Saccharomyces cerevisiae S288C: one gene and its partner. Changing the gene in region 2 together with the main gene of any one other region gives a genetic interaction. Each region holds a gene or a part of one and is shown on either strand. Other genes may lie near its edges. The genes, in order: GIP2 and IMH1.

Evidence for each region.
Region 1: mutations in IMH1 (region 2) and GIP2 together harm fitness more than expected from each alone (negative genetic interaction), as found in Saccharomyces cerevisiae (one large-scale study listed by BioGRID).

The regions. Positions count from the first base shown.
Region 1 is NC_001137.3:261,461-265,390, forward strand, and holds GIP2 (Gip2p), read right to left. Parts: upstream 2,239-3,930; coding exon 592-2,238; downstream 1-591. Other genes in the region: HIS1 (ATP phosphoribosyltransferase), read right to left, coding at 3,432-3,930.
Region 2 is NC_001144.5:749,961-753,890, forward strand, and holds the start of IMH1 (Imh1p), read right to left. Parts: upstream 1,810-3,930; coding exon 1-1,809. Other genes in the region: Ras family guanine nucleotide exchange factor CDC25, read right to left, coding at 2,264-3,930. UniProt on the Saccharomyces cerevisiae protein: Involved in vesicular transport between an endosomal compartment and the Golgi apparatus.

The DNA of each region.
Region 1 (3,930 bases), on a different chromosome or scaffold from region 2:
ATGCAAAAAAAAAAAAAAAAAAAAAATATAACCTCTGCCGGAAGTGAAGGCACAAAAATAGCTCTCTCTAAATGGGCGGTGGAAGGGTGTTCAAAAGTAAAGAAATATAGGCGCACTTCTGAAGTCATCGTAGGTGAATAAGCAAGTCTTTATCGGCATGTTCGGGGTTTTTTTTACCAATGACGATTTCTGTCACTTAACTTTTTAGGCCTTCCGTGGTCGTGTCATAGCAACCCCTAGTTTTCTCTTCACATTTTGTCGCGTTTCCGTCGCACAGTAAGAGCTGTATAGCGTTGAATGAATGTAAAAAATGCTCACTGAAGGACGGTAGCCTTTACCAGTCTTTTACGTGCCGAATGCACATTTGTATATACGCCCACACACATCGAAGATCGGCTCCCGATTTCTTGTGAGATATTTATCTGTTTATTTGCTTATTTGTGATTTATGTATATTTACTTGAAATATTCTAGCATGTTTTAGAGTTATTTATCGGAGTTCGGTCCCAATCATGAGAGTAACTCAGGCCAAGATCTAGCAAGTCATTTTGCTTTTTATGTCCATTCTTCATCTCCTTCCTTCTGGTTGCCTTCATGCTGCCGCCGCGAAGGGATCGTTAAAGCCATCCATTACAACATCCACCTTATAATTATTCCCGTTGTTGTTGTCCCAGTACTCTTCGCGCTCATAGTCGTTACGTGTAGAATAATGAATGCAAAATTCTAACTTGCCGCGAGGATCCACTTTGCTGACATCATCGATAATGAAGTGGAAAATGTCCATGTTAGTGCCCGGCAATATTCCATCGCCATCACTGATGTAAACGCATTCCACTTCATGTGTTGTTCTCCAACTATCCCACGTATATCGTACCACCACTCTTTTATCATAGAAAATGTTTTTCACTAGTATCCTTCCAGCAATTAATCTTGTACAGCCAGCGTTATAACCCTTGGCCACACCATTACAGTCATTACCATTGTGGCTATTGGGAATATTATAAAATGAGGAGGAATTTGAAAAGTAATTGTTGTCTCTATGGATGTATAATGACAATTCTTGTAGAAAAACTTTCTTATTTTGTGATAAATTGATAAAAATGTTCAGCTTTAAACTTTTAGGATTCTTGTTGCTTAAAATGGGGAAGTTCTTGCTGTATAATCCAACAACATGGTAATTTTTTGAATTACGATCTGAAATTTCATGAGCACCGCCACCATTAACGAATTTTTTATTTGATTTTGATGGTGGCATGTCGGTCCTGTTCTTTAGGAGGTTCTGAAATCTTTTACTTTTTCTTAATTTTGTATTGTTGGTGCCTTTACCATTGTTTGGATTCGAAATTTTAGCAGGATGTGCGAAGCCTTTTGGCGCAACTGTCGTCAAGTCATCATCTATGGATGTCGTTTCTAATCCAGATGATAGCATTTTTGTCTCTTCTTCCGGGTCCACCATTAAATTCACTGGCTTATGCTTAAAGCTTAGACAATTATCGTGTTGTTCAGTTTTATTAACGTTTATAGGGCTTTCATCCTCAGCAAAATATTTTACAGGTGCCGCCTGATCAAAGTGAACACTCTTACTCCTAATCAACATCGGACTACCGTCTCTTGCTTGGACACCATTCCCGCTCCTTATACCTGGGGTTGTAGGTAATGATTTTGATCTTCTCTTCAATGAGCTCTTCAATAGTTCACCTGACTTTTTATATACAGGTGGCGCAAATGGAATTAGAATTTCTTCATCATATTCAAAATTCATATCATTGCCAGGTGACTTAGCTTCGGGATATTCTGCTTGAAAAGATTTTGGTACGGTGGATTTGGGGGAAAGGGGAGGCAGCTCTATTTTGAATGGGGGTCTCGTACTGCCATTTAATGATTCTACGGAAGTGTGATTCTTGGCAGCGGCAATTTTTGACCAGCCGCTCTCATTATCAACGTTTTCATCATTCCCTGCGGAGAAAATTCTTTTGTTTAAATCAGTGTTTCTTTGCACTTCTTCCTCTGGGAACCTGTTCGCTCTCATTTGAGTTACTCTCTGAGGTTTATGTAAAAACTTCAAAGAGTTTAAAGTCTCTTCCGTACTTCCATCTCGTTCTTTGTTGTATAGGTCCGAATTCACTCTGTAACCCTTGAAATCTGTTTCAAGATCTGGTAGCTGCTGGTTTTTATTTCTGTCTAGTTTTTCATTCTTCCTCTCAAACTGTTGGGGTTTCTGTTCTGCCTTTATATACATTGTTGCGTTGATGAAATCCTAATAAACTTGGGCTGTAAGAATAAAATTTTGACAAGATATCTGTACCCGTTCCTATTAAACTTGTTTCTGAGTACAACGGAGATCTTTTTGATGTTCAGCCTACTAAAAACTATACCTTACAGAAAGAAAAAAAAAAGTCCAATGTGGTTCCTTTCTCCTCAATCAAACAGAATGCCAACCTTCCTTGTTTCTTTTCCTTTTTTACTACTAAAAGGTTTTATAAACCAGACTTCTCTCTTTAAACGTCCCGTCAACCCTGCCTTTAGTAACTGCTTTCCCGTCTAGCTTTCTTTTCGTTCCTATTGTTTTAACCGTATTGTATGCAGGTTTACCTTCTATAAATATGCACTGAACTGGAAAGGCTATGTTTGAAAAGCTTTAGTTTTCTTCTGTTGAACGGATGGGCCCTGTGTTGCTTATTACGCAATGCAGTATATATAAAGGAACTCAACCTGAAGAAGAATATGCAAGATATAGAAAGACCGTTGCAATATCGAAATATTTCCTGTTGGATAGAACGAACTTCTTGGCCCCTTCATTGAGAAGCGTAGCTGATACACATTTTTGGTAAAAGACCTCATGGTAGCAGCCCCTTTCCCCTTAAAAAGACTTAATATGGCATACTGTTTTTCTTTTATGCGCTTCATTCCACGGCAAAAAGAACCTTTCCCCGCCCCCACTCTGCGACAGGAGTTTGCCGCCCATCTCCACAATAGGCATAGTTGTCGGTACCTTCCAGCGCTACGTCAGCCTCTTCCGGGCAAAAAATCGACGTAGCATGGAAAAATGCATTCTAGACAGCTTTATGCGTTACGATCCCCAATCTATGCTCCCTGGGGAGAGTTTGTACAGGTTTTCTCCAAAATAAAAATACCTACAAAACTCCGAATATTTATGGGTAGCTCCAGTTTTCGAAAATTGGAGAAATGAAGGGGGTTGAAGAAGAAGGTTTCATGAGCATGAAGACGGTAGTAAAGCTGACAAATATGCTACGAAGATTTAACTTCCTGGGGAAGTAGCAAAAAAAAAGAAAAAATATTCACAGAGATAACCTCAAAACACACTTGGGAAGTCATGAGGGGTAACTTAGAATAAGATAGAACTCTATCAAATTATTGCCTATAAAAAATACAAAATTAATCGGGATTTGGCTTCCCTTTTTCTGTTCTATCTTATACACGACAATTAGAAATTTCGAAAACCATGATATCAGATGCGCCGAGTCTTTTCAATTCATCTAAAACAACACCCTTCGTTTTTCTCTCAATCATGGAACTAACAGCAACCCATCCTTCATCGTCAATTTTGGAAATGGTTGGTGCTCTACGGCCAGGCGTCACCTTCAACAGTTCAGGCAGCTTGTCTTCAGGTGCGTTATAAATACATGAAACGAACCTTTGAGCGGTCATGACACCTTCAATTCTTGATTTGATAGTAGCAATCAAACTCTTATCGCTCTTTGGGTTCTTTGATTCTATTAGGTAGGCACTTGTGCTTAGGACGGTGGCAATATCAACTAAACCTGCTGCCCTCATTGTCTCACCACTCTCTACAAGATCTACAATAGCATCACCAATTCCCAGAGCACATGATGCCTCCACGGAACCACTGACAAACTTTATCCTTGTGGTCATTTTTTCAACAGTAGTACCTTCCAAATCGGCAAAGTAT
Region 2 (3,930 bases):
TTTTACATTTTGCAAGGTATTGTATTTTTCTTGCAAAATATTCAATCTTTCCGATAATTTACCATTTTCTTTCAAATACTCCTCGTAGGAATTAGAATTCTTTGCGATATCATTATGCAGTGTCTCATTTTCCTTTTTTAATAAGTCTAATCTGTTAGAAATTTTAGCATGATCTTTTCTCAGCTGTTCTGTGGATTTTTCAGCCACGTCCTTTTGCTCACTAAATTGTTTAACTTGTTCCTCCAAGTAACTCACAGTTTTTTCCTTTTGTTTATAAGAGGTTCTTAAAGAAGTAAGCTCCTTTGTTATGTTTGATTTTTCGTAGGTAAGTTGAGATATCTCCTCATTTAATTTGGCTACCTTGTTCTGCGATGTAGTCTGCTCTTTCTCCTTTTCTGTACATAAATTCTTCAGATGCTCTACTTTCTTGCTCAATAACTCTATCTTACTTCTCAACTCAGTATTTTTAGCTTCGTAGGCCTCGATCATCGTTGCATTTTTATGGCGTAAATCATCGAGCTCCAGCTTAACGGTTTTCACTTCTTCATTTTGTTTACTCGAAGACTCTTTAATCTCATCTTTTGCGTCCACAAGCTCATTGCCTACAGTCCTCAGCATATCTCTCACCTCCTCTAGCTCCGAATTTTTTTCTTTCAATGACTTCTTGGTATCGATCAACTCGGTGTTAAGGGTTTCCAGCTCCTTTGCTGATTTTTCGAGCTGTGAGTTTTCCAATTCTTTAGCATCTTTTAGTTCTGCTTCTATATCTTCATACTTTTGCTTCCAATCTTCACAATCTTTATATTTTTCTTGTAATTCTTGCAAATTTTCTTTAAGCTTATCATATTCTTCAGTATTGATTGAGTTATCGACCGTTTCCTCTTCACTGATATCACCCGTAGTTATGCCTCCCTTATTTTTCTTTCCCTTGTTTCTATTCTTTTTCCTTCTGTTATTGTTTCCTACATTTTGATGAGATATCGCCTTCGGTAACTCCTTCATTTTTTTTTCCAATTCACTCAGCTTGCGCTCTTTCTCTTTTAAAGTAATATTTAGTTCTGCCAACTCTGAGGACTTTTCCTCCATTATAGTACTTTTCGAAGACAAATTTTGCTCCAATTCGGTTATCTTCATTCGACTGTCCTCGAGAGAATGGTTCTTTATAGCCAATTCTTCCTTCAGTTCGGATATAGATACTTCTTCTTTCTGTTTTTTGGCCTCCCTTTCTTCCTTTAGTATATTTTCCAGTGCAACTATTTTTTCTCTCAAACCTGAAACAGTATCATTTTTTTCTTTTTGTACAGTATCCAATTCTATGTTTAAAGCTTCCATTTTTTTTTTTAGATCGTCTATGTCATTTTTATAATTTTGCTCTTTTTTCAAAAATTCCTCTTCTTTATCCTTCAGAGTTTCACTAGAGGCGCTTTCTGGAATTTCCGAGTTCTGCTTAGTTAATCTCTTGATCTCATCATTCAATAGGTTATTTTTGTTGTTTAAATCCTGGAAAAAAGCTGGCAACGTATCCACTGCGTCGTCAATATTAGATATGGGTGTATTTTCCGCTAAAATCTTTTCAACAGCCTCTAACTTCTCTGACTTTAATTTTTCATTTTTGTATGCGGAGAGTAGCAAAGGGTATTTTTGTTCATATTTCTCAAATTTTCTTAATTTAGCTTGTATTTCTTTTGGCAAGCCACTCTTATCATCTTCGATTTGTTGTTCTGACGGGGTAGGGCTCATATCATCGGCTAAGCCCTTCGCTAATTCATCGGTAAGATTCTTACCAATTTGTGACAGCTGTTTGAACATTGAATCAGCAAATGTTTCCCTAAGTTAAAATCACCTCAAATGTAACTCCTGTTGCTTACTATTTGACGTTTCTGCTACATTTGGTTCTCTTATATTGCTGGATCTGAAAATCCGAACTATGAGAATGCGGGTAATAGCTTTTCATAGAATCACTAATTGATATTTTTTCAGGTAATAAGTTTCCTCTAATCGGGCATTTAAAATCTTGGATCGATAACTTAACTGGGTGTAATAAAATATATAAAGATATAAAATAGATATATATATATAAAACGAACTTTATCAAGAAGAACTGCAAATGAAGCGTACTCTCAAATCCTCGAAAACGAAAAACACTCCACCAGTACAGTATTATCACGAAGAATATTAAGTAAAAGCAGCCATCTTAAATAATAGAGTGTAGCAATCAAACATAAAGCTAAGGTTCTTCTTGATTAGCAAATTGTATAAACTTTTATCGAAATAACCTAGAAGGAGGTTTTTTCTTACCTAGCTTCAAAAAATTGCCATTTTTATCATCTGTAAATTCACTTAGGAATTTTGCAGTTTTTGTACCGCTAGCAGAAGAAGCATGCGTACTGCCTTTGGTGTTTCCTGATCTCGGTTCCACTTGCAGTGATAATTGATACTGCTTTTCAATGTGGGGGACATTTTCCAAAGACGCTTCTATAACGGTCTGAATATCATCCAATCGTTTCAGCTTGTAATGGAATCTTTTAAAGCTTATAATTTCCTCCACTATATTTGCGATTTTAGTCCTCTTGCTGAAGTTTATTATGTTGGTTGAATTGTGAAGAAAATCTGGGTTTCCGACAAACGTAAATGTTAAATCAGATAGGTATACACCAAAAAAGGGAACACATGCAACGTCCGTCACGGATCGCAACAGCTCTCTATACTTCACAAAATTTCTCTTGGAATCCATAAGGTTGTTTAGGTTCTTCAGAAGGTCCTTCGACTCAGTGGAAACTAAATCCCATGTCTTTTTCAGTCGGTAGATTGGGGAGGAATACAAAGCGGACACTATGGCAGTCATTGAAGAAAAATTATTCAACTCTTTACAATGCTGGGCAACGGTAACAAAATATTGCGTTAATTTTGAACGTGTCTTGACATCTGCCTGTTTTACAATGGTATGAGAAACAAAATTAGTTAGCGTATTAGCATTAGCTATAAATTTCGTAATGTTCGGAGAACCACCCATATTACAATACTTGGTACCCCATGCCCTATCCAAGCATTCAAACATAGTGATCCTGAGGTATAAGTCATGTTCAAGTACAGTCAATTGTGTGGCATATGTGTATGGGTCAATATCCAAGAGCTTCAATTTCTTCAATCTAAAAAACGCTGAAGAAGCAGAAGATGGTAAAGAAGACGAAGACATGTGTATCGGTGATTTATTGTCACGTTTAGTTGTCTGTACGACTGCCGATACCGAATCTTGTTGCTTAGGATCCACTGGTTCTTTCTCATTCTCATTTATCAGTTTTTCATTTATCTTTTGCAAAAGATCCTCTGCCCCCGGTATTTTCTCCGATACAACCATCTTGGCAAAATTTAGAATCAGTGGTATGCCAGGTTCATAATAATTTCTTGTCCAATACTGCGTCAAAAATGTTCTCATAATGTTGACCACACGGCATTTAATCGGGTTTGACTTTTTTTCTATCCAAATATTGTAATCATCGTAACTCAGCCCTTCAGGAGGATACAAGTTGTACCTGTAAATCAGGGCATAAAAAAACTCTCTTGTGGTTAATATACTTCTGAAAGTTATTAACATTGTAACATTGAAAGCCGCATCAACAAGTTCATGACTGGTTAAATGTTCAATCAGTGCCTCTTTTGTCCCGCCACGAATTTTTCCTCTTGAGTCATAGACAAGACTAGTTTCATAATCTGAAGTTAAAAACCATGGAAGGTTTTTCTCTATGTTCGCAGCTTTGCGTTCAATATAGTCCTCAGATCCTAATTCGTCATCGATGATAGCTTCATCATTTTCTGAATCGTCATCACTATAGTCCTCGGAATAAATATCAAACCATTTTTCTTGCTCACCTTTCAATAGTTCTGCAGTCAAATTATTCTTCATCATTCTTGCTGCGTAGTTCAGCAAAT